4 linked regions of the Alligator mississippiensis genome follow. Each later gene encodes a partner of the first gene's protein in a complex. Links are inferred from orthologs where the notes say so. Each region holds a gene or a part of one and is shown in the gene's direction. Other genes may lie near its edges. The genes, in order: RRN3, TAF1C, POLR2H and TAF1A.

What was found.
Region 2: RRN3 (region 1) and TAF1C share a complex: the UniProt entries of both Homo sapiens proteins name them as parts of the pol I pre-initiation complex. The link is inferred for Alligator mississippiensis from reciprocal best matches to the Homo sapiens genes RRN3 and TAF1C.
Region 3: RRN3 (region 1) and POLR2H share a complex: the UniProt entries of both Homo sapiens proteins name them as parts of the pol I pre-initiation complex. The link is inferred for Alligator mississippiensis from reciprocal best matches to the Homo sapiens genes RRN3 and POLR2H.
Region 4: RRN3 (region 1) and TAF1A share a complex: the UniProt entries of both Homo sapiens proteins name them as parts of the pol I pre-initiation complex. The link is inferred for Alligator mississippiensis from reciprocal best matches to the Homo sapiens genes RRN3 and TAF1A.

What each region holds. Positions count from the first base shown.
Region 1 is NC_081836.1:42,573,602-42,580,469, forward strand, and holds the start of RRN3 (RNA polymerase I-specific transcription initiation factor RRN3), read left to right. Parts: upstream 1-3,851; 5' UTR 3,852-4,007; coding exon 4,008-4,097; intron 4,098-4,467; coding exon 4,468-4,524; intron 4,525-5,638; coding exon 5,639-5,728; intron 5,729-5,814; coding exon 5,815-5,944; intron 5,945-6,264; coding exon 6,265-6,324; intron 6,325-6,868. UniProt on the Homo sapiens protein: Required for efficient transcription initiation by RNA polymerase I (Pol I). Required for the formation of the competent pre-initiation complex (PIC).
Region 2 is NC_081826.1:303,255,591-303,262,821, reverse strand, and holds the start of TAF1C (TATA box-binding protein-associated factor RNA polymerase I subunit C), read left to right. Parts: upstream 1-4,221; 5' UTR 4,222-4,236; coding exon 4,237-4,368; intron 4,369-5,968; coding exon 5,969-6,053; intron 6,054-6,409; coding exon 6,410-6,516; intron 6,517-6,985; coding exon 6,986-7,081; intron 7,082-7,101; exon of another isoform or gene 7,102-7,231. UniProt on the Homo sapiens protein: Component of the transcription factor SL1/TIF-IB complex, which is involved in the assembly of the PIC (pre-initiation complex) during RNA polymerase I-dependent transcription.
Region 3 is NC_081830.1:83,503,979-83,511,444, forward strand, and holds POLR2H (DNA-directed RNA polymerases I, II, and III subunit RPABC3), read left to right. Parts: upstream 1-4,462; 5' UTR 4,463-4,532; coding exon 4,533-4,605; intron 4,606-4,715; coding exon 4,716-4,799; intron 4,800-4,895; coding exon 4,896-4,989; intron 4,990-5,949; coding exon 5,950-6,033; intron 6,034-6,377; coding exon 6,378-6,495; 3' UTR 6,496-7,035; downstream 7,036-7,466. Other genes in the region: major facilitator superfamily domain-containing protein 8, read right to left, coding at 44-163, 256-318, 630-815, 4,208-4,283. UniProt on the Homo sapiens protein: DNA-dependent RNA polymerase catalyzes the transcription of DNA into RNA using the four ribonucleoside triphosphates as substrates.
Region 4 is NC_081824.1:182,344,641-182,352,067, forward strand, and holds the start of TAF1A (TATA box-binding protein-associated factor RNA polymerase I subunit A), read left to right. Parts: upstream 1-4,420; 5' UTR 4,421-4,666; coding exon 4,667-4,910; intron 4,911-6,480; coding exon 6,481-6,650; intron 6,651-7,427. UniProt on the Homo sapiens protein: Component of the transcription factor SL1/TIF-IB complex, which is involved in the assembly of the PIC (pre-initiation complex) during RNA polymerase I-dependent transcription.

The sequences.
Region 1 (6,868 bases):
CTAAACATAGACATTGGATTTTTGATACATTATAATCTGCCTGGCAACTGACTCCCCAGCCCAGCCCAGCCCCTGGCCTCTTTACTTTTCATTCCATCCACGAAGAGCACACACCAAGTGCTGACACTTCCTTAGCCTGACGAAGGGTTTTTGAACTTGAAAGCTTGCTTAATAACTATTCTCCAACCATTTGGATTGGTCTAATAAAAGATATCAAATTCACCCAAGGAACCTTGTCTGCCTATTTAAAACTATGTTTTTCAGACAATCTAGCCATAGGGTACAAGCACAAACCGTTGTCATAATTTAAAAGCTGCCTTGTAGTTTAGTTTAGGAAACTGAATCCAGTAAAAATAGTTTTAATAGTCAACACGATATTTTAAAGAGTTTGCAGCAAAGAAAGGTAATCTTCAAAGGAGTTGACTAATTAGGGTCCATAAAAAATGTTTGCCTCATAGTTGACAAAAAATTAATAGCTTCCTTGGTTATTTTGAAATGTAGGACTTTTATAAAGCTTGCATTCTGTAATTTAGTACTGAATAGGCAAGAACCTTTACATTCAAAGATACCCGTTTTCAACTTCTATGCAAGTATTTTAGACATTCTGTGGAGGCACCGAGAAATTGATTCAGAATGACCAATAAGGCTGTAAGTTCAACTATGTTTGACGTCTTCCAGTGAGGTCCCGTGACCTTTGACACCAATGAAGTTGCAGGAAGTGACAATGAAATGGGTCTGGAAATGTGGTTTAAAATCTAAAATAAAAACGATATAAAAGCAAGAATGAAATAATACCAAACACATGACTAAAATAAACACTTTCGCTTCTACTCACTTCTCAGTGAATGAAAGAAGCATAATGCACGTCAACAGATCAAATGTGGAAAAAATATCAGTCAGACCTGGTGCCATGCCCGGGTTGACATGGTTCCTGCAGGACCCGCCTAGGCAGAACTGGGTCGGCACCGACCAGGAAAAGCAGCATGCAGCTGAAGCCGGCTTCCCACGTGCTGCTGGAGACAGGAGGAGGCCGGCCAGGTCTGCGGTGGAGCCATGTGCCGCTCGGGACTGACCGGTGCAGGCTCGTCCCGTCTCGAGTGGCATGTGGCTCCGCCACCGCTTCTCCTGGCTGGTGCAGACCCAGCCAGGCTCCTCCGGTCCCCAGCAGCACATGAGAAGCAGCCCCCTCGGGGCCTCGCGCATGGGCGGCCGGGCCTGGAGAGCCGCAGCACCGGGGGGAAGTCTGGCCAGGGGAGCAGGCACCGCCTTGCTGTGAGGCAGGGCAGGGTAGCGGGGCTGGCTTGGAGCGGGCGGGTGAGGAGGCAGGCATGGGCCAGCAGTGCCACCGGCCGCTGCTTGGCCTCCTGCGTGGGGCAGTCCCGCGGCACTGGTTGCGGCCGCCTGGATGGGCACCGGCTTGTCGGGGCGGGTGGGCGGGCGGGGCCGCTCAGCAGCCGCAGCCTGCACCGCCCCCGGCCAGGGAGGGGTCCAGTCCCTGCAAAGGATGCCCCCGGCCGTGCCATGCTGACCCAGTGCGTGTGGGAAACTTGTCCCTTCCCTAGCCCTTCAGTAGCCATTAGGAAGCTGCTGAGGGGCTGGGGGAGGGACAAGGGGTGGGAACAAAAGTAAACCATGTTTACTTTAGTTTCCTGTCGCGGTACCACGGGCCGCAGAACATGCCTTGGTGGGCTGCATGGCGGCCCGCGGGCTGTATGTTGGACAAGCCTGTGCTAGTGGGACAGGCTCATGACTGAAATCACTTCTTTTATCAGTGTCAGTGTAGTGACATTGCAAACTTTGCCCCACTGCCCTTACAATTCCTTATGTGTGATCCTTCTAGAAGGACCAAAGGTCAAGCTGTTAGGTGTCTTTCTGACAGCTACCCATGGCAGAACGCACAGAATCATGTTTAGAACATGGTTGCTCCCAACCTAATTGCAGAACGATTCCATTTTTCAGTAAAGACAAACCCTAAAACAAAGCGAAGAGAAACCCATGGGAAACACAGTTAAGGAACTCAGTTTGATTCTGTCTACAAGATGCTGTAAAATCAGCAATCAACCATATTGTAACCATTTCCTTGCAATACAGTAGTTCATCCATTCCAGGGGCGGGCACTTATTTCAGGCGGAGGGCCGCTTACTGAGTATTGGCAAGCTACTGAGGGCCGTATGACAGGCAGCTAGGGGCAAATAAATATTAATTTTCTAAATTTTTTAGGGGCCCCGCAGGCAGGATAGAATGGCCTGGCAGGCCGCATCCAGGCCACAGGCCACATTTTGCCCACCCTGATCTGTTCAATCTTTTTAACTTTGCTGCAAATAGTCATTACTTCAACTTGTTCTTTTTATGTGGACATTTATCCACCAGAAAATGAACTGAGAGCGCTAACTTTTGTCAGACCACTTCTAATGACTGCATGTTCTGTACTTTCTTTCAAAACAGACTGCCCTATACCTGCTGAAGTGTAGTAACCAAAGATATAATGGACTGAAGAACAAAGCCTATGGCACAATCTAGCAAATTGCTAGAGCTATTTTAGGTGAATTACCTGGAGAATAAGAGTATTATTTGTTCTTTTGGGTTTAAAGGAAATGAACAGCTAGCTTGCCTCTCCAGCAAGCGTACTCAATGATATTTCATCATAAATAGCGGTGTGTTTTTTAAATACTGAAAGTGGGAAAGGCACCAGAGTCGCATGGCTTTATACTGGTTGCCAGAATGCTGTAGTATGCCTGCCATGCCTACTCCAGGCAGAAGGCAGGGCAGAGAGAAACCTTATAGACTAAGTCAGAGATGCATTCACTTTTGTAATCAACAGCTCACTTTATCAGATGCTACAAAAGGACTGGCAGGGAGCAAGGGTTCATCTAGAAAGTGTGCTGTAAGTACAAAGTGACGCGTAGATCTACCAGACCTACACGTCAAAGAGCTGCTCAGCACAGCTCACAGACCCTGTCATGGACCCGGAGGGACAGCCGTGTGACTTCAGCTCCCTCTGTGCAAAAACGAAGTCTATTTCCTACCCATGGGGACTTTTTACCATCTTGTATCGTCTGTACTGTTCCCAGAGCCTAATGAAGGGACTTTGATCCTGAAAGCTTGCAGAAAAAGGACAATTTTCTTGCGATTTCCCACTTGGTCTAATAAAAAGTCTCATTTTGGAACCAAGAGATCTAGTTTTTGTGTATGTCTTACGTACAACATTATTTTGTTACAACTTATTACCCCTACAGAGGTCATTTCAGGCCATTAGCTGTCCTTACCTATAATGTAGCGTCTGGATTGCCACAAACATGTTTCCTGGTGGATCTCAAATCTTTTCAGTCCTGGCAGGATGTGATTTTGCTCAATAATGGAAACTGCGGTTCTATTATCATGACTTTTTTTTTTTAAATTTAATTTAGGCACAGTAGTTTTGGAGCGTTGTGGTCCGAGATCCCCTTTTCCCTTTGGACGGAAGGTCCCCAAAGCCCCCCCCTGCGGACGGGATGCTTCACATTGCTACCCTGGGCCCCGGGAACCGCCCCGGGCCCGGGCCCGGGCCCAGCTCCCTGGCACTGAGGCTCGGACACGGGGCGGGGGAAGGAGCCGGGCGGTGCAGACCAGGGGGCGAGGGGGTCCCGGACACTTCTGAGGAAAAAACCGGGGGGGGGGGGGAGGGGAGAGGAGGAGAAGACACGTCACCTCCCCCAGCGCCTTGGGCGTGGCCAAGATCCCCGCCCCTAGTCCTCCGAGGGGCAGCGAGAGGGGAAACCAGAACGGCCGCATGGCCAACGTGCCAGCCACCTTAGACTAGTAGTGTGGGCGTGCGTCACTTCCGGGGGGCTCAGTGCTCGTTTCCGGCCCGCAGGCGGAGGCATGGCGGGGCCCGGCCGCGCGGCTGGCGGCGAGGAGCGGGGCGGGCCCGGCGGCCGGGGGCGCTGAGGCGGGAGGGGGTGACGGTGTCTTTACCGCCCCCCCAGCAGTGGGCTGCACGCGAGGCGGCCGGTCTGACCGTTGCGGCCATGGAGGGAGGCGCGTTCCTCGGCTCCCCGCTCAGGAAAACGGTCCGGTTCGGCGGGACCTTGAGGGACGTCCTGCTGAAGCACGAGCAGGTGACGGCGCCTGGGCTTGTCTCGGGGGTGATGAAAAGCTGCTTCTTGCTCCCTCCCCCATCGGCCTCGGTCCCGGGGGTGCTGGTGGGCTGCTTCCTCGGGCTTCTCTGAGGAAACGTAGGGGATGGGTGGGCAGAAGGGAGAAGCACCAGCCAGACTTTAGTAGTAGAGCAGGGGAGAGAGAAGCTGCGACTCTTGCTGCCACTTTATGGCTTTTCTGGCTTTTGCCAGGGGTCTTCCAAGCTGTCCTTAGTAACAGAAGAGGAAGCTTGTGTTTCAGATGGGTTAGGTAGCGGGGCCCGAGCTGTGCTCCGGGATCGCAGGAAACCGAATGTGCCTCTGTTTTCTTTCCCCTTCACACTCACTCTAGGGAGAAACTGCTGACTTTGAGTTGTTAAAGCATCAGCTGTCAGATCCAGATATAAAGGTGAGACATTTTTGCAATGGGGGATTCTGATAGTTGTGGTTGTTTCATGGGAGTACATTTAATTATGAGGCAGAGTGTGGCCATTGTGTTTTAAACATGATTTTAAACCCCCCTCAAATAGATTTCTTGGTGCTTGATCAGGTTTCAGGGAGGGTTTCTTATCTTTCAGATATCTTTGCTCTGTGTTAACTTTGCAGTGACAGAAGTCTTGTCAGTTTCCAGATCAGCTACACCTTTGATCCCTCCTCGCCTCTTTGAGAGCGCTCCACTTGGAGTCAGACCGTTATTACATTTCTTCAGGTGGCAGCTTATGTTCCATTCCTTCCAGACCACAGAGTGTTAGGCTGCGTTTCCATGGCAATTCCCTGATAATTCTAAACTAATCCTTTCAGTTCAGCACCTGCTCCAGACTTGGGAGTGATCCTATTCTACCTATTCCAAGTGTAATCCTGTTGGACCTTGTTCAAGTCTCTGAAGAAGTGTTTACTTGCTTACTTTTGTACATGCCATCATCTTAGTCGTATGACTAAGTTGCAGAAAATCGGTAAGAGACAAGATCTGTCCATTTTTTGCAGTAACTGTTTTGCAGAGGCTTGAGAAGGTTGGAAGAGGATCACAGGTGTGCGCCCACGTCTATTTAAGGAGAATGGTTGGAATAAGATCTGTCAGGCTTTTTTCTTTCGGGCAAAGGACTTTAGGAACAACTAATTGACAGTTGGAGCACAACGTTGCTTCCTTGTAGAGAACGGATAGGTGATACATCCAAGGGTTCCTTGTGCCCAGCGGCTGGGAGGACCAGGACTAGATTTAGGACTACAAGGAGTGTCTAGAGTACTACGTAGTTCCCCTACTTAGCTATTACGTTCAGTGTGATAAATCCACTCATCTTGGATTTTGAAAGAGAACTGTGTTCAGCAACTATGGGTGGATTTGCAATTTCTGCCTTTCTCCACTCTGGTATTGGTGTGCCTTGTGCAGGAGGAAGGGTGCTGGGTGACATTCCTAACATGCTGGTGTAGAAACTGCTTCCCTAATCATAATTCTCATGTTTATTTGGGTTTTAAAGGTTTTTATATTAATGCAATTGCTCTATTTTATTGTCTGCTTATATAAGGATGCCCAGATCATTAACTGGTTGCATGAATTCCGTGCTTCTGTTGTATACTTGACAAAAGATGTGGAGGAGCTGGTCAGCATTTTGTTGGTAAGTAGCCACTCATAATATATAGAAATAAATGTTTAATCTCAAAATGTCTGTATATTTCACATCATTGTTCTAACTGCCTGCAGAAGCTGCCATGGTTGAAAAGAAGCCAGGATGTGGTGGAGGAATATTTAGATTTTCTGGGTAACCTGGTATCAGCACAAAGTATCTATCTTAGACCCTGCCTCCGCATGGTTGTCTCACATTTTGTACCTTGTAAGTTTGTAATTCGTTTTATTCTAAATGGGATAATTCACACTCTTTTTACTAAAATAACTTGGAGTAAGAGAATTTGTATAAGGTCAAATTTTGTAAGAAATTTATAAGAAATTAGCTTAAAACTAGATAACAGCATGTACAATTTTTCTGGCTTCTTGAGTAGAAGAAAACTTCTTTTCTTGTTTTGATGTATTGTAGATATTGTGGGTTTTCACCAGGTAGTTCTGGTGAAAATATTGTTCTGAAGATGCTTTAACTTGTGGCTGTCATCTCTATGCTTTTTATAGTTATGCACTAATAGTTCTCTTTCCTAACAGCTCAAGTAATCGTAAGGGAAGATGGTGTGGATTTTTCAGATTCTGATGATGATGAAGAAAGTGAGTACTCAAGCAGCATGGTTTGCTATTTGTATTGCTTCCTTTATGCAGAACTTTTCATTGCTGCTGTAATGTAATTGTATTGGTACAAAATCTGCATGAACCCATGCATGCTGAAGAGTAGGAGGACCCCATGTACTTGAATGCACATTACTCCTATTGAAATTAAGTGCATCATCACCTGACCTTGGCTACTTCCAAATCCTTTGAGGTGAATGCTTGGGAAATTTGACTTTCTATTCAAAGCTTTAGTGTCATGATATGGAATTACATTTGTTAATTTTATTCGGGTAGATTTGGGTTTTTTTCAGTATCATAAGTCTTTTACTGAATAGTATTGATATAAAGGTTGAAGACAACTTTTAGCAATATTTTAGAATCATAGAATCACAGAAAATTAGGGTTGGAAGGGACCTCAAGAGGTCATCTAGTCCAGCCTCCTGCTCAAATCATCACCATCCCCAATTACATCATTCCAGCCAGGGCTTTGTTGAGCTGGGCCGTAAAACCCTCCAAAGACAGATTCCGCCACCTCTCTAGTTAA
Region 2 (7,231 bases), on another chromosome or scaffold:
GTCTCTCTGGACTGTAAACACTGTGGACGCGGCCGCAGCTGGTTTCCACCCAAAGCTTTCCCGCACTCCACCTGCTGCCAGCATCCCACTTTTACCACCCCGTCCAGAGCTGGCTGTTCCCCTGCCCGGGCCAGGCCCTGACCCTTGACCTCCAGTGGGTGCAATCCCCTTCCCGGGCCCGCTGCGGTATCCGTGCTGCAGTCAGTTCATTGTCCCCCGTGCTGGCAGCCCCACATGTGCCCCCTGCTCCCTGGGCCCCACGCCGCCTTTCTGTCTCCCTTCAGTTGCCCCTAATCAGGGCCCATCTCAGCCACCTGAACCCACCCCTCACACCTGCCAGCCAGCCCAGGGCTGACCCTGCCCTCAGACGCCCCAGCAGTGGCTTCCAGCCGCCCCACACTCCCATGCCACCGTGGGCCTTTGCCACCTGACTCCAGCCTTCAGTGCTGGCAGGAAGGGCCTGTCCTGCCCCACACTGGTTGCAGCAGCCTGCCGCAGACGGCCCCTCTGCCCAGCAGCTCTGCCAGCCCCTCTCTCACAAGCAGGTCCTAGGACCAGAACTGCTCCTGCCTGTCGCTCATTGGCTGGATGAGGGGCCATGCGGAGAGGAGGAGCCATCTTTGCTCCCGCTGTCACCACAAGCAAGGCCTCTGCGGGAAGCCCTTCGGGGACAGACTGGGACTGCTCTGATGCCTGCGGAAAATGCTTGTGGGGAAATGATGAGGATTGCCTCTATGAGCCCCAGATGGGAAAGGCTGTGTCATGGGAAGCAGGTCTCACAAGGCGGTGCAAGGATCCACCATGTCCGGGCCGTGGCAGAGGCCGCCCAGCAGTGCACTGCCTGGCCTGGTGTGTAAGGAAAGGGACATGTCACTGAGCACTGTGGGAGAAGCCCTCAGGGCTGTCACTCTCTGGGCTCTCGGTGAACGCCCCAGAAGGGGGTTAACTGAAAGAGAACAGCCATGAGGATGCCCCTGGCGAGGCACGGGGCATGGTGCAGTGGACGAACATAGCCATGCAATTAGCCCATAAGGCAAAGACCATGTGTATCTGGTGGTCACTTAGGAAGAACAATTCAGGAAGCCCTGGGGCAGAACCTGTTGCCCCCACAGCAAGGCCAGGGACAGGGACAGGGACAGGAGCACCTTGGAACAGCAGAGTGGGCAGCTGAGCACGGAGCTGGGGGCAGAGGCCCCATGGGCACTGTCGGCCCGGGGAGGGTCCTTTCCCTGGGGGTCTTGGGCTGAAGCAGCTTTCAGCTGTGCTGCTGGACCACCTGTGCTGTGAGGCTTGGAGGCCTGTGCATGGGGGTCTGGGGGCAGGGTCTTCTCTGGGTGGGCTGATCGTAGTCTGAGGGTGGCATCTGTGAGTAGGGATGGGCCCTGGGCAAAGGTGTCTGTGGTGGGGCAGCTGAGGGAGAGCAAGGTGGTAGAGGGGGCAGGCTCACGGGTGTGGAGGCTGCTCTGGGAGAGGGTGCACGAGGGGCAGAGCTAAGTGTGGGCAGGGCCTGGGCTGGGCTTTGGGCTGCTCCGTGTTGGCCCAGCCAGGGAGGCGAGGGCCGAACCTGCCCTGGTTTGTTTGATGCCTCTTAGCTGGGCTGCAGCTGGGAGAGATGCTGGATGCTCCCTGGCGCTGAGCGCCCTGCTGCAGGGAGCGCTGGCACGTGTGCAGATGTGGATGCAGCCCCCAGGCTGTGCGCCAGGAGGCCTCCAGGAAGGGGACCGAGAATGAGCTGGGGCCATGCCCCTTGTGTCTATGGCTACAGACACGAGACCCCATCAGTCCTGCTCCACCAGGTGCTGCAGGCCTCGCTCCCACCGGCTCCCCTGCACCCAGCCCAGCACCATGTGCCTGCCTGCGCCACAGCCAGCGACACCCCACGGCATCATCCAGAAGTGACCCATGCGCCTGGGACACTTCACATTCAACAAGGTTTATTTGGTGCCTGGGTGACTCCTGCCTGAGAGGAGCCTCCAGGTGAGAGTGCTGGAGGCAGGGAACTCCTGGGCCCACAGGGGCTGGGGGGAGCCGTGTCCCTGCACCCACAGCTGGACTGGGGCAGTCTCTGCTGCTGAGAGTTGGAGAAGGAGTGTGGCCCCAGGGAGGGTGCCCTGAGGATTTGAGGGAGTGACAGAGAAGGATGATGCTAAGTGCTGCTGAGCACTGGGGAAGGAGTGCTGCCCTGGGGAGGGTCCCCGAGGAGGATCTGGGGGAGCAACAGAGAAGGACAATGCTGCCAGCTGCAGCACAGCACCCAGGTCTGACTGGCCCACAACTGTTGCATGCAGGGACTGGAGCCCTGCAGCTGGGACAGCTCCTGGCACAATTGGGGGGACTGGGAAGTGGGGTTACAGGACCCTGCTGGCCCTTCCAGGCCTCTGGATGTAGGCTGTTCCTCTTACTGGAAGTCCATGGAGGGGTCACTCCTGGTTGCTGTCACTTTCTGTATGACTGTGCTTGGCTGGTAACTTGTTTGTCAGAAACAGTTGCCAGGTTGGAAAGGGAAAGGAAAAAGGGCCTGTTGCCAGGTGTGAGATATCCCTGGCCAGAGTCAAGCTCAGTAACACATGCCTGGGGCTTTTGTATTAAGGATCAGGAAGGGGAGTGCATGTCACTGCTCTGACTGGAACAATCACAACACAATGTTATCTTTGCCCAGCTGGCCGCACTTCCTAAATGTAACATACAATCCAGCCCGCTCCCCTATGTGCCACTAACACTGCATTTTGTTTTGCTTTGATCTTAAGCTTGGTAAGGTAGCCCTGGGCCCCAGCACGTCAGCACCCATTGCTTCTCTTTACTGGGAGAAAACGGTGTGCTACGTTGATGCACCAGGCCCCTGCACCCCTCTTCAGAGCTCTAGACCCCCGCTGTGGACGCCATCCAGGGTGGAAGCAAGGAGCACGTGTGCTAATGCCTGTGCCAGACCACAAGCATCGCCCAGACAGGCTTTGTGGTGAGGGAGAGCTTGCGTGGGACGAGCTTTTGGGCACGTGGCCTTCCTTGGGCTTGGGGAAGCAGCAGGTGAAGCCACAGCCGAAGGCCAGGCCAAACCGCAGGCATGGAAAGCCATTGTCAGGCAGGTTTGGGAACCGTGCAAGAAGTGCAGGGTTTGGGTGACATCTGTGATAGGATCCGCAGATGTCCGTAGTGGCTTGTCCTAGAACCTGAACACGTTGCCGGCAGCATTCGTCACAGCTGGAGGAAGCGGGAGCACCAGGCCTTCACTGAGCCCCACCACAAGCTGCGAGGGTGCGGGGAGGGCAGTGGTCGCTCCCGGGCAAGGGGAGCTCCTGGCTTGGCTGCACCCTGCTGCCGCGTGCGCCGGGGGCGGGAGGCACGGGGTGCAGGGGCCCTGGGCCTGTCTGTGCCCCTCGCAGGTTTTCCCCATGTGTTCTTGGCTCCAATACTGTTCTTGACCTGAAACTCCTCCTCAGCTTCCCGGAGCCTTTCCACACCCCAGCACCCTGGCCCAGCTCCAGGGTACAGGCCGTCCTGCGTGGGGGAGGGCCAGGGCCCACTTCCTGCCGTGCAGGGCACCAACCACTGCCCCCCCAGGGGCTCTTGTCTGGATGAGGGACCTGGAGCAGCTTGCCCTGCCCTGGGATGTAGGGGGGCACCACAGCCGCTGGGGGGGCACCCCCAGCTGCCCCCCAGCCCCCTGGGGAGGCACCCCCAACTGGCCCTGCACCCCCCCCCGGGGGGGCACCCCCAGCCACCCCACGCCCCGGGAAGCACCCCCAGCCACCCCATGCCCCCTCCCCCGAGGGGGCACCCGCAGCCGCCCCATGCCCCCCTGCGGGAGGCACCCGCAGCCACCCCACGCCCCCCGGGATGCACCCGCAGCCGCCCCACACCCCCCCCGCGGGGGCACTCGCAGCCCCCCCCGAGGGGGCACCCGCAGCCACCCCACGCCCCCCCCCGCGGGAGACACCCGCAGCCGCCCTCCCCGAGGGGGCACCCGCAGCCGCCCCACACCCCCCCCGTGGGAGACACCCACAGCCGCCCCACGCCCCTCCCCCCCCCGAGAGGGCAGCCCGGCCCGGCCCCCTGGGAGCTAAAGCGCACGCCGGCTCCGACGCTGCCGTCCGCCAGGGGGCGCTGCCGCGCCGCACTTCCGAGCCCCTTCCGCGCGGCGCGGCGCTCTGGCCGGGCGCTCTATGGGCGGCGGGCGTTGATTGGTCGGCGGCCGCTCGGGGGCTACATTGTAGCGGCGGGGCGGGCGCACGTGGCGCGATGCAGTTCCCGGCGCCGCTGTTCCCGGGGCCGCACCGCGCCGGGCCCCCCAGCCGCGAGCCGCCCTGCCCCGCGCTGCTCGGCTGGGGCGGGCGCGGACCGGTGCTGGGGGCTGGCGCGGAGCCGCGGCAGGTGAGTGTCCGTCCGGCCCCGCCAGCCCCGAGCCTGCCCCGGGGGAGGCCCCGCAAACCCCGGCCCGGCCCGGGCCCGGGCCCGGGCGCGCCAGTGCAGACCAGTCCGACCGGAGGAAATCTTTCCTGCCCAGCGGGGCGGGGGCAGGGCCGCCCCCACCTGCACGCAGCGCCCCGGTGGCAGGGAAGCCCCGACGCGGGACCGGCAGGAGGGCAGTTCCCTTCCCGGCAGCCTGGCCTCCGGCGGAGCCCGGGGCGGCCGCATCCCTGCTCTGCCCTGCACCCTGGGCCCCGCCCGGCTCGCGACCCCTTCCTCTTGTCCCTTCTGCTCTTGCGTGTCCCAGCCGCTCTGCACTGCAGGGTTCTCGCCTTTGCCATTGTCCCCCTCCTCTTCCTTCTTCCCCTGTGGTTTCCTCGCTTCTGCCCGTGTACCTTCTCACTGACCTCCTGTCACACGTTCAGCTTCTTTCCTTCCTTGGAGGTCTCCCAACAGCAGCGACTCCCTGTGCCCAAAGACGCGTGCTTGTGCCCGAAAGCTTGCAGAGAGCTCGTTTTCCTAGCTACTCAGTTGATGTAATAAAAGATAACACATTACCCAAAAAAGCTTGCCCGCCAGCTCCTCCAGTGTCCCTTCCTCTCCTGTCTGGCTGTGAGCGTCGCTTCGTTCTCCTGCTGAGCACAGCCCCGCAGGGAGTGCGCGCCCCCTGCCCTGGGCTGCAGCCCTCGGCCCACGGTGTCCCAGCAACTCGTGTGGCGGCCCCGTTGGCTCTTGTGCCCCCCAGCGCTGTGGGCATTGCTGTTCCCAGCTCGCTCGCGACCAGTGGCTGCCCAACCCCTGCGAGGGCACCTCCAGTGCTGGAGCAGCCGCAGCCTCCCTGGGCACCTGTTCCCCCGCTCCGACTAGGAAGAAGTTTTCTCTGAGATCCAGTCTAAATTTACTTTGCTGCAATTTCAAGCCAAGAGAGAAGCTGCTTTCCCTCTCCTGCGAGGCAGCTCTTCAGGTGTTTGCAGGCTGCTCTCGTGTCCCCTCTGAAGCAGCTTTTATGCAAGCTGAACATGCCCAGCTCCTTCTGCCTCTCTTAGGACTTGCCTTCCAAGCCCTTGAGCATTGCTTCTGCCCCTCTCTCACTTCTCCACTTCCCTTTTAAAATGTGGAGCCCAGCACTGCAGCCGTTATCCAGAGGAGGCCTGACCAGGGCCGAGCAGAGAAGCACCATCACCTCCTGTGTCTTGCACCTAATACGCGTGACAGCCCAAATCACAGTGCTCTTTTGTGCAGCTGCACCATGCTGCAGGCTCATATCGAGTCTGATCTATCGAGTTCCCCCCCACAATCCTCCTTGGCACTGCCGTCCAGCCAGGAGTCACCCAGTTTGTCACTGTGCTTGTGATGATTCCTCCCGAGGGGCAGCCCCTTGGACCGTTAGCGTTAACCTTAAGTGGGGAGGGAGTGCAGGCCCAGTGGAGGGCCCTGACCCAGTTGGGGAGTGGAGCTGCAGCCCCGGGCAGCGTGATGGGCTGGGGACAGCTGGGGACCAGGGTAGAGGTGCCCCCTGCAGTGGGCAGGGAGCTGTGCTGATCCATCTGTCCTGCCCTTACAGGGGTTCGTGCCGCTTCGCAGCGAGAAAGGCGAGAACTGGGAACCTGCTGATGCCGTTGCGGTGCCACTTCTGCCTCCTAACGCTGGTGAGAGCTCAGATCCTGCCTCGACCCCCAGGCCAGCAGAGCCAGAGATTGCCAGAGCACAAGGCCCTGACTGGCAGGGTCCTCCTGGCCTTCATCCCCTCCAGCAGCAGGAACTAGCTCCTGACCTGTGGGCTCCCCTGGGCAGTCCATCCCCGGGTACTGCCAGGGCCTGGGGGGTGCACGTGCCCATCCCTCTGCCCACAATTGCTGGAGGTTCCTTGAGCAGCGCTACATGGCTCCCTCCCCTCCCTGTGCCCGGGGGCTTGCACTGCACTGACAGCCTGGCCTGGTGTCCCGTCCCCTGTCGTGTCCTCTGTCCGTGTCCTTCTCTCTCCCCCCCCACTTCTGACCTGCAGGCTTCAGGGTCCTGGCCGTGACCCCCCATGACATCCTCTATCCGGGGCGGGTTCGGAGGAAGCTCCAGGCAGGCAGGACTGAAGCTGCCCTTGACTTCACCAGGCAGGTGAGTCCTTGCAGGCTGGCTGCTGTACCCAGCACCTCCGGTAGCCCACCACATGGCCCATGCCCTGGCAGGGGGGTCTTTGGGAAAGCAGCAAGTCTCAGCGCTCCTGTGGGCCCAGCCCAAAAGCCCCAGGCCTGGCTGGGCAGAGGGCCACTGAGCTCACTGCCCTCCTTGGGGAAAGGCGCTGGGGTGGAAGGGGAGCAGGGCTGCCCTGGGCAGGAGAGGGTGTCAGAGGATCCAAGCAGACCCACGCACCCACGTGGGGATCCAGGATGGCCATGCTCTGCCCACCAGGCTCTGCGCAGTGTCTCCCTGCAACGAGGTTTGGGAGGAGGGGGCAGGGGGCTTCAGCTGGGGCTGAGGCCACGAAGACACTACATGTGCCCAGCTGCCTGCTTGGGTTGCCCCGGACTCCCGTGTGCTAGCCAGACCCTGCTTGGGCCCCCTGACCCTGTGCCCCTCCCTGCAGCTGGCACACTTCTTCCTGGACCACCCTGAGGACGCGTTTGGGGCCATGGGCCAGCTACTGCAGGAGAATTTCCATCTGGGGGAGGCACGGCTGCGGGTGAGTGATGGTCCCTGCCCATCCCCAGGGACAGCTGCCCGCCTGGCTTGGGCCAGGGGGTAGGGGCAGCCCCCATCTTGCTGCCCCTGCTTCCCTGAGCCCCTGGCTCCTAGACCCCTGGCAGCCTGCTCTCCCCAGCTGTGACTAACC
Region 3 (7,466 bases), on another chromosome or scaffold:
CTTCCAGACCCTCCACCTGGTCCAGCAAAAAGGAGGCTCTTACCAATCAACAGTCCGACCTGCCGACATGCCATGACCACTGCAAACACCGTAGCGCGCTCTTGCGAGGTGGTGGAGCGAGTGAGGTACCCAAAGATGGAGGCACCTGCTCCTGTCCCGACACCTACGACAGAAATGTGCAGGGCCAGGGGTGAGAGAAATGGCACAGGCACCTAAAGCCCCTAGGATACAGGCCTGGATGCCTCTAGCTCTTACCTGCCACAAGCCGGCTGCCCAGAAGAAGCCATTTGGAGATGCCCATGAAGTACATGAAATTCCCTGAATCGGGGACACAAGAGCAACAGGTAACGCAGAGAGGAAGGTGCAACGAGACAGCCCATGGGGCTGAGGCAGCCGGAGACAGCTCCCCAGAACCAGCAACATGGGGTACGTGTCACAGGATGCATGCGTGACCGCAGGCTGTGGACAACCCCACAGGCCCGTGTGCGGGTCCCACACTGCACCATGGGCCTTCCCACGGGCCACGCAGTTTCAGCCGCTGCATATAAAATGTGGCGCTGCTGTCTTCCCTCAGGGAGGGCTGGAATCTGAACTACAAGGTCCCCCCCAGTCTGCTCTCACGGCCTCACCTGCAATCTCGAACGTGTTGGCGAAGAGGATGATTGCTTTGGTGCGCTGGGTGCGGTCCGACCAGAGCCCGAAGAGGGGCCCTGCCAGCAGGCCAGTGAGGCTGAAGGCAGAAATCCCCAGGCCCAGGAAGTACGGCTCCGCATGGAGAGTCTGCAGGTAGGCCCAGATGGTTGGCAGGATCACCGCTGGCAGGCAAGGAAGACAGACAGACAGTCAGAGACAGCCCCAGGCTGAGTCCTACCAGGACACCCCACACCGATACTGAGCCTGATCCTGGATCATCTCAGCACAACGCCAGGCCACCCAGCTCCTGACCACCACCCCCCAAACTGGCATGGGCTGACCAGTGACAAGGACAGCAAAGGCCATCTGGGTCCCTGAGACTCACCATCTGGGGGTCCCACCCTGCCCACCTCAGCTGATCCAGCCATTGGGGCAGCTGGATGGCTTCTCCTGATGCCTGGCACAGCAAGGCGAAGCATCAGCCATGCAGACAGACCCTCCGCAGCCACAGCGAGCTCTCCTAGTCCTTCCCTCTCCCCCAGGAGACAGCACTGGCTTCCCAGAGACATGGGGACCCCCGCAATGCCCCTGCCTGCTCAGAGCCTCCCCTCTCAGGCTGCACCTGGCTAGTCCATCATATCCTGGCATATCCTGAGGCATTTGGTCAGCAGTAAGAGTAGGAAAGGACAGCACGTTTTGCATAGGACATGCTATTAGAGCAGCCATGGCCAGGTCGCTTCCCCTGCAAAGGCAGCACAGCTAGAAAGCTCCACAAAGCTCTGTACAGCTAGCGGCAGATCCCCCCAGCCTGCCTTGGACTGCCCCCTGCGCTGCCCCACACCCTCCCATTCCTGAAAGCACAGGTTATCTCGACCGGCCAACTCCAGATGTCCCCGGCAGGCAGCCGAGAGGTAGCCCTGCCCCACGGCTCAGGGACTGCTCTCTGATCACCTGCAAGGGAGCTCTGGAGTTTCAGGTCCAGGACCAAGAAAGCAGAAAGGCCCCCAAGTCACCCTGGGCACCAAGAGCAGGGCCAGGGCAGGTCTCTGGTGTCAGGCAGGGAGGCCCCATGGCCAGTTTCTCCCTCCAGGCTCAGCTCGCCCCTGCCTGCTTTCCCCCAAGGGACAGAGGTGCTGCAACACTGTCGCCCGCCCCCGCCTGCTCACCCTTGCCCTACTTCCCTCTGTAACGACGGAGCTGGCTGCTCAAAGAGAGATCTGCCTGGCTCAAAGTCTTTTTGCTGCCCTTGGAGGCCTCCTCTCTACGAGCTGGCAGCGCATGCAGCTCCCCACCCCCTGCTCATTTTGGGAGGACTCAGCACCCTCCCGCCCACGCACCAGGGCTGGCTCTGTGGCCCTATCCAACATAAACCAAGGACTGACTAACCCCTGGGCCTCAGTTTCCCACATTCCCGGAGAACGGGAGAGCAGGGACTGCAAAGCGGTAGCTCAAGGGGGGACAGAGCATGCTTGGATCATGGAGAAAGAAAAGGCAAAGTTGGGACGTGGAAGACATTGGAGATGACCCCATGCCTCGGTGAAAAGGGAAGCTGCTGTAAATTAGTGGGGGGGGAATCTCAGTCCAGACCCTACTGTTCTTAGGCAGGTGACATCCAGGAGAATACAGAAGGGAGACAGACCAAGAAGTGGGGTTCATGGAGATGAGGGGTTCTTGGGGCTCACTCAACAGAGGAAACCCCAAGAGGGCAAGGAGGGTAGAGCGAAGACCTAGAAGGGTCACCAAAGACTAGTGGCAGGAATGGGTTGAGCGGAGAGGTGAGTTTGGACAGGGCCCAGCTGGGCACTGGGCCAGCAGGAGTGGAGCTGACTCATGCTGGAGGAGATCAGGGCTGATGGGAGAAGCTGGGAAGACGAGCGACATTTATGAACACCCCGCAGTGTTCCCAGCTGTGGGACATGAGCCATGGGTTTGGCCCGTATTTTTCCAGTCTGCACCTGGCCTGCGTAACCCCCGGGTACCTGGGACCCTTTTTTGCTTGAATGTCGGCGTGGGTGCCGACGTGATAGCACAAGGGGCACGGCTGGACACAGACCCCAGCCAGCACCTCCCAGCATGCTCTGAGCACAGACAGGCATGCCCAGGGGACGGGCATGGAGACAAGACGCCCAAGTCAGACTCCTGCACCTGCCGCTGAGCTGCAGGGAGAATCCGGCTGAGTCCCTGCCTCTCCCCATTTCCCCACACCTGGGCTCATTAGAGTGGGCCATCGGCTCTTGGAGGCAGGGGCTCATCTTAGTTGTGAGGCCATGCCCCAGACAGCAGCTGTGGAAAGGCAGCCCAACTCTGGGAGGAAGGGGTGAGGGCAACACCCCTGGGAAGCACAGAGGCACAAAGGGAAGTAAAAGGAAGGGTGAGAAACATCCGGGAACACGGAGCACTCCCACAGCTGCAGAGACCGAAGGAAGCGCAAGCTCAGACAAGGCAGAAAGCAGGTGAGAGGGTGCCAAGGCTGGGCCCTGCAGCCTGGGACCGGCACGCTGACTGACGTGCCTCAATCAAACCCTTGCCATGTCAAACACCACCTCCTCGTTAGACGCTCCCTGGCTCCGCTCCCCAGGGCACCAGTGGCTCACGTCACCGGACCGGTCAGCTCAGCTTGAAGCACCCAGCTGCCAAGGAAAGCTGCTTTGCCAGGTGCAGTGCGGTGGGGTGAGGCCCCGTAACAACAGACCTTCTCGCCTGGCTGCCCTCACAAGCCAAATGGCCAATGCCAACTGCGCCTCCCCCCAGCCCGATTCTGCACGGGGAATCGGTTTATGTCGCGAAGCCGCGCAAGTGCCAGCACTTGCCACGTTCTCCCAGGTGGCGAGACAGGCAAGGGCAGGGGAATGACACTCGGCTCCGGCATCCACCCTTGGTCCTTGCTGCATTAACATTGCTGAGCCCTTGGCTGCTCCCAGCAGGGGGATGAACCCAGAGGACCCGAGGGAAGGACAACTTGGCAATCCACCACTTCTCCCGGCACTCAGACCCCAATCCCCGCTGGGTTTGAAGCCTCCTCCTAGAAGGAGGTAGGACTGCAGCGGTCGGGAGCTCCCGGACAGTCAACGCTCCTGCCCTGCTCCCCGCTGGGCTACCAGTTCCCCCAGCACTCGGAGATCCTTGGTGCGAAGAGCAGGAACGGGCTCCTCCCGGGCCTACCCGAGCTGCAGGCTCAGCTTGCACCTTGTAAAATATTAACCGAGGAAACAGCAAAGTCAGCTCCGCTCCCGCAAGGACAGGCCTGCGGGCTGGGCGCAGAACGCCGCAGACCCAGTGACCGCCGTGTCACAAGGGTGAAAACGCAGGAGGAGGAAGAATTATTTCAGGATCCAGGACCCAGCACCTCACGTGACCCGACAAGTCAAACAGTAGGTCTGAGAAGACCCCTTTTGGCCTTAAAAACATCCCTCGCTCCAGTCTGTAGACACCGGGGGGGAGCAGAGAGCCAGCTCGCACCCACCACCAGGGCTGGGGACCGTCCCGCGGGCCGGATCCTGCCCGGCCTCAGTGTGCCCGCCTGCGAAATGGGTCCAAGGGAAGCGGGAGCCGCGGGGCGGGGCCAGGCACTCACCGTACTCGATGCCCCCGGAGAGGAAGAGCAGCGCGATGGCGACGCTGGTCAGCTTCTTCCTCCGCGGGTCGGCCATGCACCCGCCCGGCTCAGCGCCCCATCCCGGGCCCGGCCGCGCGGAGCAGGGAGCCCGGGGTCCAGCCCCGGCACACGCATGCGCACACGGACTGCCAGCATGGAACGCCCTCCCGGAGTGGCCCTTCCGCCCCGAGCCTGCACTTCCGCCCCGCACGGATGAGGCACTTCCGGCGCGCCGGCCGGAAGCGGCAGTAGCAGCGCGTGTCGCCGCGGCGGGCGCCGGGCACGGGGGAGCGCGGCCGCTGCTATGGCCGGGATCTTGTTCGAGGACATTTTCGATGTGAAGGACATCGACCCCGAGGGCAAGAAGTTCGACCGCGGTAAGCAGGGCCGGGACAGCCTCCCCCGCCCCCCCCTTGTTGTGCCCAAGCCACGCCCCCTTCATCCCAGGCCCCGCCCCCCCGGGCCTTGACCCCCGCTCTGCCCGCAGTGTCCCGCCTGCACTGCGAGAGCGAGTCCTTCAAGATGGACCTGATCCTGGACGTCAACATCCAGATCTACCCCGTGGACCTGGGTAGGTGGCGGGGCGGGGCCGGGCGGGCGGGGAAGGGTTCACCCCCCACCCCAGGCCCGCGCGCCCCCGGCCCGGCGCTGACCCCGCGGGTTGCAGGTGACAAGTTCCGCCTGGTCATCGCCAGCACCTTGTACGAGGACGGGACGCTGGACGACGGCGAGTACAACCCCACGGACGACCGGCCCTCCAGGTAGGGGCGCGGGCGCGCCCGTGTCTGCAGCCTGGCTTTGTTTCAACCCCTGCCTTGTGTATTTACGACGCTCCTCCCTGCCGCGTCCGACCGGGTCCCCGCCTGTTCTCGGTCTCCCTCCTCGCCGGGGCTCCGTGTCGAGGGCGCAGATACATCGGTGATGTATCAGATCGGCGGCGATTAACGTTATCGGCGGTTGGCTTTTTTTGGCCGGCATAGCCGATAACGTCACCGACTAAATGCCGCGCGCATGCAAGCAGCCTCAGCCTGCGCTCGGCCAGGAGCGCGGCCCTGCACTGTGGAGAGCAGCGTCTGGCTGGTGAGTCAGTGGGAGGGAAGGGGTGTGGGGGCAGATCGAGGCCCCCGCGGTGAGGGAGGGAGTGGGGCGGGGCAGGTGCTGCACAGCCGGGGCAGTGAATGGGCCCCCCAGGTGAGTTGCAGGGTGGAGCTGTGTCTGGGGAGGAGGCAGCTTCTCTGCTGTGTGTACTCCTGGGAGAGGTAACCTACCCCAGGGGCCCATTCACCACCCTGGCCAGGCAGCACCTGCCCCTTCCCCAGTCCCACGTCCTCCCTCACTGTGGTGGGCCTTGATCTGCCTGCCCATCCCCCACCTCCCCGCCCCCCAGGCTTACAGGCCGGATGCTGCTCTCCAAGTTGCCAGGCTGTATATTGGCTATCAGATTGGTGTTGGCCCATATGGCTGGTTAATAAGTGGCCATCCGTATTAGCCAAAAAAATCCCCTAGCTCCGTGGTGTTGGATGGGAGCCTGTCACCAAATGAAAAAAAGAGGCAGACAGCTTCAGCCTGCAGCGCTGATCAGCTGCATGAGGGTGGAAGGATGACTGGGGGCGTTCAGTGTTAGCTGGCAGGGGTTTAGCCTGGAGGGGGGTTGTGTTGGGCAGGAGGGTTGGGTCCAGGGTCATGCCGATTCCTCCAGCCTTGCTGTCTTGCTCTCACAGGGCTGACCAGTTTGAGTATGTGATGTATGGGAAGGTGTACAGGATTGAGGGAGACGAGACGTCTACGGAGGCTGCCACGCGACTGTAAGTGTCTCCCCTGTGCTGCTTCCCTGTCATTCATTGGGAATTTGGTCCTTCGTGGATGCCAAGGGGTGGGGGGTGGTCCATGTCCTGTCTGGGTGCCAGATTGGCAGCTTGGGGGTAGGAACACCTGATTCTGCTAGCAGTCTGTGCTGAGCTGCCCAGTACGCTGGTCTCGTGTGGGACTGCTTCCCTGAGGGGCTGGCTGGAGTCTGCCCTGGCAGCCAGCTCCCTCAGCCCCGTGATGAGCCAGTGCTGCTGCCTCTTAGCTAGGCTTCTAGAGCTTGGGGCTATGGTCAGCCTCCCCCGAGTTCCTACCCTGCTCTCATCCTTCCCCTCCACCCTAGCTCTGCCTACGTGTCCTATGGAGGGCTGCTCATGCGTCTCCAGGGAGATGCCAACAACCTGCATGGCTTCGAAGTGGACTCCAGGGTGTACCTCCTCATGAAGAAACTGGCCTTCTAAGGGGCGGGAGCTGAGGGTCTGCAGGAGGCAGCAGGGACCCTGCCTGACAGGCTGTCTGGACAGACATGGACTTGCCAGCAACCTCTCTGATCCGTGCCTCAGGAGTTTGGCTCCTTCACCCCTCATCTGCGTGGGCCTGAACCCTGCCATGCATTCCAGTCTGTGCAGCCAGCCCAGAGGCCTGCACTGCTCACATCTCTGCTGGGTTGCCATCCAGGCCAGGAGACTGCTTCTCTGCCGAGCAGGCTGAGACCTCAGCTCATGCCCCAGTCTCTGAAGAACTGCCCTTTGTAGGGGCTGGTCACACGCAGGTGAGCTCCTAGGTCCCTGCCTGCAGGTGCCGGTCATTGGAGGACTTGCCTATGGCACATGCTCTCCTCGGCCAGCTGGGAGGCTACATCCTTGCCCCGTGGCTCCACTGCAGGCTGCAGTACAGCCTATGCCACCCACCTAGGCAGGCCATGTGCTGTATTGGCGAGGAGGGCAGCAGCTCCTGAGCCCATCCCCTCTGGTTCGCTATTAAACTTGTTTTTCAGATTTGTCCTGGCTTTTGCCTCCCACAGAATTCCACAAGGTGTGAAGTAGGTAAGCAATGGGACTGAGCGCATTGGGGAATGATAGCCATGGCCTAATGAAGGACTGAACCCCTGCAAGCCCTGGGCTGGGGACTCTCAGGCCCTGCACTGTTCAGCTCCTGTCCCTGTTGACGTGATCAGCTGTGAAATCATTAGCAGCCCCTCCGTTTTGCCCAGTGCGTTCTCCTTTCCGAGCTCTAGTTCTAGGCTACCTGTGGGCCCTGGCGGGTGCTTCCATGTTGTGTGCACAGGTGGAGACATCACTGCTCTCTCTTCACTATAACAGGCCGGAGGCTCAGTTCTGTCTGAGTGGACTGGAATTGTGCTGTTACCTCCACCAGGGCTTCCCAGTCACAGCAGGAGGGTATCCAAGACACCCACTTCCTGAAAGGATGG
Region 4 (7,427 bases), on another chromosome or scaffold:
ATATCAAGAAGGCCAAACACAACTGGAGTTGCAGCTAGCCAGGGCCATGAAGGGTAACAAGGGTTTCTACAAGTATGTTAGCAACAAGAGGAAGGTCAGGGAAAGTGTGGGTCCCTTAGTGAATGGGGGAGGCAACCTAGGGACAGATGAGGAAAAGGCTGAAGTACTCAGTGCCTTTTTACCTTGGTCTTCACAGGCCAGGTCAGCTCCCAGACTACTGCACCAGGCAGCACAGTTTGGACAGAAGGTGAGCAGCCCTCAATGGTGAAAGAACAAGCTAGGGGCTGTTTAGCAAAGCTGGACGTGTACAAGTCTATAGGGCTGGATGCAATGCATCCGCGGGTGCTGAGGGAGCTGGCCGATGTGATTGCAGAGACACTGGCCATTATCTTTGAAAACTCGTGACGAGTGGGGGAGGTCCCAGACAATTGGAAAAGGGCAAATATACTGCCCATCTTTAAGAAAGGGAAGAAGGAGGATCCAGGGAACTACAGACCAGTCATCCTCACCTCAGGCCCTGGGAAAATCATGGAGCAGGTCCTCAAAGAATCCATGTCTAAGCACTTGAAGAAGAAGGTGATTAGGAACAGAAAGCACAGATTCACCAAAGGCAAGTCAGACCAACCCGATTGCCTTCTGTGATGAGATAATTGGTTCTGTGGATGCAGAGAAAGCTGGGGATGTAATATATCTTGACTTTAGCAAGGCTTTTGATACTGTCTCCCACAGCATTCTTGAAAGCAAGCTGAGGAAGTATGGGTTGAATGGACTGTAAGGTGGATAGAAAGCTAGCTGGATTGTCGGGTTCAACGAGTAGTAATCAATGGCTTAGTATCAAGTGGAGTGCCCTAACTCCCTGGCGCTAAGTTTGTTTGATATCTTCATCAACAATCTGAAAGATGGGATGGATTGCACCCTCAGCAAGTTTGCAGATGACACCAAGCTGGGGGGGTGTAGTAGATAAATTGGAGGGTAGGGCTAGGATTCAGGGTGACCTAGACCAGCGGTTCCCAACCTTGGGCCACGACCCAAATGAGGGTTGTGGGGCCAATGCCGGCAGCGCTGCACACAAAGGACAAGCCATGTCATGTGCTGGGAGCTCCATCACCCTGCCCTTGGGCTGCTGCCGCCACTGCACTCCACTACAGCTGCGGGTCATGGCAAACAAAAGTTGGGAACCACGGACCTAGAGAAATTGGAGGATTGAGCCAAAATTAATCTCATGAGGTTCAAAATAAGGACAAGTACAAAGTCCTGCACTTAGGACAGAAGAATCCCATGCACTGCTACAGCCTGGGGACAGTGGCTAAGCAGCAGCTTTGCAGAAAAGGACCAGGGGTTATAGTGGACACGAACTATAGTGGACACTAACTATGAGTCAGCAGCGTGCCCTTGTTGCCCAGAAGGCTAACAGCATACAGGTTTCCCTCGCTTTATGTTGGTTCTGTATGTGCAAATTCGCTCTTACGTGATGATCCTTTTTATACCAAAATTTGTTATACGCAAGGTAAATTCACTCTTATGCGATCGGTGTGGTGGAAGCCCACAGTCAGCTGCTTTGTGCAGTGTGTTGTGGGAGTGACATGCACCAAAATATCTATGCTCCTTGCTCATTGTCTGCACCCTGTGTTTCTGTAGTTGCCATCCTCATTATGGTAACATTCACTATCACCCTGTGGTTGTATATACTGTCTGCTGTTGGCGAGTACCAAAATTGTCTTGTAAAAGTAGTAGAAATGGGTCTGGAGGTCAGTATAATTGAGGTCTTGGAAAGTATCCTTATTTATTATATTGTAAAGTGGGTTCATTTTATGCAAATTTGAGTTATGCACCCTTTTCCAGGAACGTACGTATAGCATAAAGCGAGGGAAACCTGTACTGGGCTGCATTAGTAAAAGCATTGCCAGCAGATCGAGGGAAGCGATTCTTTTCCTCTAGTCAGCACTGGTGAGGTCACATCTGAAATACCATGTTGTTTTCAGCCCCCCACTATAGAAAGGATGTGGACAAGTTGGAGAGCGTCCAGCAGATAACAATGAAAGTGGTTTGGGGGCTGGGGCACATGACTTCTGAGGAGAGGTTGAGGGAACTAGATTTATTTAGTCTTCAAAAGAGAAGACTGAGGGGGGATTTGATAGCAGCCTTTTACTACCTCAGGGGTGGTTCCAAAGAGGATGAAGCTAGACTGTTCTGTTGGCAGATGACAGAACAAGGAGCAATGGTCTCAAGTTGCAGCATGGGAAATTTGGGTTTGATATCAGGAAAAACTCTGTCGCTGGGAGGGTGGTGAAGCACTTGAACAAATGACCTAGAGAGGTTGTGGAATCTCCATCCTTGGAGGTTTTTCAGCTCTGGCTTAACAAAGCCCTGGCTGGAACGATCTAACTGGGGACGGTCCTGCTTTGAGGACTAGGGGCTGGAGTAGATGACTTCCCGAGGTCCCTTCCAACCAAAATTTCCTATTATGGAAACCACCTACTGTACCCTGAATGTTGGCTAATGACTCAGGTCAAAGGGGATAACAGGTGAGTCCCTATTCTGTTCCTTACATGTGTCCGCAGACCATCTTCCTGCTGCTCCTCCTTGACTATTCATATTTGCACAGTGGCCCTCTCAGTGTACAACATCCTTGTTCTACTCCTCACACAGATCCAGAAACCATCTATCATTTCCACACCTCATGCACAAACCCCACCCAACTCCTCCCACACCCAGACCCTCACCATTTCAGTCCTAGACAAGACCACCAAAACTGCCTCTCATTTCAATCCACTTCTTTCCTTGCCTCTCCTCCATTCAGCTCCATTCCAAACACGAGCAAGTGTATCGCAGAGATGTTGATGCTCTTTGGCTAGTCCCCTCTGCTGTGTATTGCAGTAACAGAACAAGTTACTGCCTTTTCAATCTATTATCACATTCTAAAAAACAAAACAAAACAAAAAAACATGGATCCTTCAAGGGTCAAAGCTACCTTTGTAAAAATTGCTTTTTTTACTCAAAAACTACAAGACAGCTTTAAAAAAAAATCTTCCTGCTATACCATTCCTTTAGATTCCTACACTCCTGACCTGTGGCCTCCAAACATATTCACACATCATTTTGCAAGTACCCTTAGTCAATTTTATTCTCTTCTTTCAAAAGTAATTCTGACCTATGCAAGTCAGGTAGAGAGGACCAGGAAAAAAGCAGGTAAGACAAGACCTAGTGAGAGAAGTAGAAACAGGTGAGAGAAGTAAGAGGCAAGAATTGTTATAGGTGACAGCTTTTACTGGATCAAGCTGCATGTCTGCCATGCATCTATGGCCCTGATTTTGTAAATACTTATGCATTTACTCAACACATGCCTCCAAAGTAGCTGGCAGCACTATTCACAGGTGTAGGGTTGCCAACTCTGAATCTATTCCAAGAGGTTTCCGGAATGCCAACATGCTGGCAACACAACACGGATGTGCCTACCTGCTTCCATGTATCAGTTACATAGACTTCATGTCAGGAAGGCAAATGCAAATTACTATTACATTTTAAAAACTGGACTACCATGTAAATCGGATTCAACATTTAATATTTATTTTAATGAATGCCCTGTCATTTATCTCCTGGGGGGCTTCCAGTAGCCTCCTGGAGATTTATATCTAATCCCTGGAGACTCCAGGGCACTCCTAGAGGGTTGGCAACCCTACATAGGTCCAAAGTCTATAAGCATGCATGTATTTTCACAGTGGGGGACTTACTTCCCCTGTACTGTGCTCTTAGCTATTCAGCTCCAAGCTGCTGCTGTATGTTGACTACTCGACATTTCACTGGTCTTTATATTATTGATGAGCAGTATTTAGGAACCATCACTGTGATGTTAATAGCATTATTATTATTGCTATAATACTAATCATTATTGCTATAATAATTAGGACCACAAGTATATTACTATTAAGCATATGATCACTTACTATTGACTAATACGATTTATTTCCTTATTATGGCTAATAAGAATAATATTAATATCAATCACATTAATATCAATATAATTCATATGAATAACAACCACAATAATAATGACGATTAGAACGACAATAACAGTAATGGTATATATTATTATATACAATAGTACTTGTTATATTAATATAATATGAATTATAAGCATGCTACAATAATTATATTATTATTATATCAATAATAATAATAATAATAATTGCTATCTCCTCGGTGTGCAGACCAGATCAGACCGAGCCTCGGCCTTGGAGCCCGCGGCACAAGCCGACCCATAGCTGCAGCTGGGGGCGCAGGATCGGGTTCCAGGGGTGGGAGGATGGTATGACCGGAAACCCGCGCCTGCGCACTGAGAGTCACCTCAGCTCTCGCAGGGAACAAGCAGCGAGACCAGGGTCCGGTCACATGACCGGATTGGCTCCACGACACGCCCCTGCCACAACGCTAGATGCCGACTTCTGAGAAAACAGTGCATGAGCACCTCGCGTCTCTTCCCCGGCTGCACTATCCCTCTGGCGAGGTCGAAGGTCATTCTGAAGGTGGCTCCGAGGCACTGCTGAAGAAAGCTTTGCTTCCTTTTTTTCAGAGCTAACTGACTTTGCTCTTGATAACGGTAAAGCCACTTGATGTCGGTGCCCGGATTAATTTAAAGACGTAGTTGGTAAATAAGGGCGTGGGTCACATGATAGGTACTTTGAGGTCTCTCGCCAGGAACAAACATGGTCTCCCGCTTCTAGTGGGCCAGTCGCGTCCTGTGGGACCGCGCCACTTCCGGCCGGGCGGGGTGCGGGACTGGTTCATTCTCCTCCTCCCCGCTGCCGAGGGCATGGACGGCTTCGTGGAGCAGCCGGCCCCGAGGGAGGAGTGGGGCAGCCTGGCCCCGAGCATCCACCTGCCCCTGCTCCCGTGCTTGCTCCATCACCCAGGTAAGTGGTACTGAATGGGTTGGGCCCAAAGGTACAAACCAGCCCTGCCTCATGGTGCTCCTTGATTTGGCACATGCCTGCACACACATGTACAGGTATATATACACATGGACCTGCACGTGTGTGGACCCGCAGGTGTGTGCACCAGGGTTTGAATTACAAGGGAGCTTGGGGGGCTGAGACCCCCCCCCCCCTCCCCATAACAGGCAAGAGCCCCCTGTAAAATTTGAAAATCATAATCTGGGGAAGGGAGCGGGGGATCATAACCTAGGGATTTTATTAGGGCATCATGATGGGCAGCCCAGGTTTTTTTTGCAGAGGCGATGTCCAGGCACTCACTAGCACACCTCCCCCCCCCCCCCCCATGCTTTTTCAGGTCCAGGGGAATCAGAGTGGGGGCGCAGCCCTGCATGGGCAGATTTGCCCCAGTCAGCTCTGCTCGGGTCAGCTCTGTGTGCAGCACACGTTGTCTGGACATTGCTGCGTGCATGGAGCTGGTCTGGCATGCATTGCATGTGGCACCTCTGCTGCTCTGGATCCAAAACACTGGGCTGGTCCAACATGCGTACTGCATTCAGCGCTCATCTCGGACTGGCCCTGCGCACCAGACTGGCTCCACACATGAACATGGGGCTGGTTCAAGACCTAGGAACTTGATAGAGCTGGCGCTAGCACATGCTGGGGACCCCCTCCTCCCCTAGTCAGCAGTCGGCTGCTGGTGCCTCCCTAGTATCGGGAGGCACCAGTCACCCATGAAGTTGGTGTACACTGCACAGAGCTGGTCTGGGGGATGTGTTGGCTCTGGCACATGAGGCTGGTCTGTTATTTCAAAGCAGATGAAAACACAGTCTTTGAATACAACTATAGACCACAATACACTGTGGTTATGCAGTTCATGTGGGAAATCTGTCCTGTTTAGCCGTGGTCCTTTAATAGTTTCATATGTAGTGCTCATAGTGTAGGAGGAGGAACAAACTCTACTACGTGGGTCTATCAGTTTTGCGCTTCCTCATCAGAAAACATTGGTGCATTCAGGAGGCACACCATTCAGACTTTAACTGCCACAGGTTCTATATGGGCTGCAGCAACAACGATTCAGTTTGGGCAGGGGCCTAACCAGCCTCTTGGAGCCCTTGCGTAGGGAAGCTGCAAGTTTTCTTCGAGCTTAGTCATAGTATAGGAACAAATTCTCCCCATCTCTGCTTCAGTTTACAATCTGCTTAAATAAGAGTTTTTAATTTGTTTGTACCAGCTACTTGCATTTTCAGTTCTTTAGGTGAGCACTGCTTCTTAACACAGTTATACTTAGCTGAAAGAAGTTCTCTTGGTTGAGGTTTCTAGGTGATCATAGTACAATATCTTGCAATGTAGACCTTAAATAAGAGAGGAGATGGGCTCAGAGGAGAAATCCACTGTGTTTTAGGAAATATTTGAAGTTGCATTTTGAAGCATGGTTTCTGTCTTTTTCATCTCCTTTGGCAGAGTTTGCCCTGGACAAAGCTAAAGGTAGTAAAGTGATAGTTACATTGTTACCCTCTCTTATTTGTTAATCCTATTTTTTTTTTTTTAGTAACTAGGGGTCCAAAGGAAACAGAATTTCAGAAAACAAAGGAAGCTTGTTTAAACTACATTCAAGATGCCCTGTTGCAGAACCAGTGGCAGAGGGCTGCAGAGTTCATGATTAGCTACTTGGAGATATTGGAAACAAGTACAGTGAGTAAACGGAAAACTGCTCCAGAGGTAAGATAAAAAGAGGCTGTTACCAGAATTCACTTGCTGTTGATGGAAATAATTTAAAAGGGCATTTGAAGTAGTTCATGATCCATACTTATGTCTTATTTGTTAAAAAGAAACCTCAAAGCTTTACAAGAACATGTGTGCATTAGAGAGGTTTTGGGGTTTAGGTTGTAGCTGTGTTGGTCTAAGGACATAGGCAGACAAGGTTCCTTGGGTGAATTTGATATCTTTTATTAGACCAATCCAAATGGTTGGAGAATAGTTATTAAGCAAGCTTTCGGGTTCAAAAACCCTTCGTCAGGCTAAGGAAGCTTCAGCAGTTGGTGTGTGCTCTTTTGATTACTCTCTAGGTATCCATACCAACCAATACATTTGGAAAACAAACCTCTAGCATATAAAACAGTAGAGATATAGAACAAAGTTTAGCAGTTCAGTACAACTCATGCATGTCCCTGGCAGAGGGGGCACAAAACTGCACCCTGCATATAAGCAACCACAGTTCTGTTGCACAAGTATCGGGTAGCAGACCACACAAAACTAGACCCTGTAGTTGCTAGCAGTTAAGGGGTTTTATTCAGGTAATGTGGAGCAGCTTGGGAGCAGGGGAGTTGTCTAATGTAGCAGCAGCCTTTTAAGGCTTTGGTCTGGATTGGCCCAGTTGGAGTCAGAGGCAGGCAGGTGGATGAGTGGCTACTAGGACCCAACCAGCACTGGCACTGTTCCCTGTGGCAGCAGAGAGGAGGTGCCTCTCCAGTGTCTGCAGGCATTGTCCAGACTGGG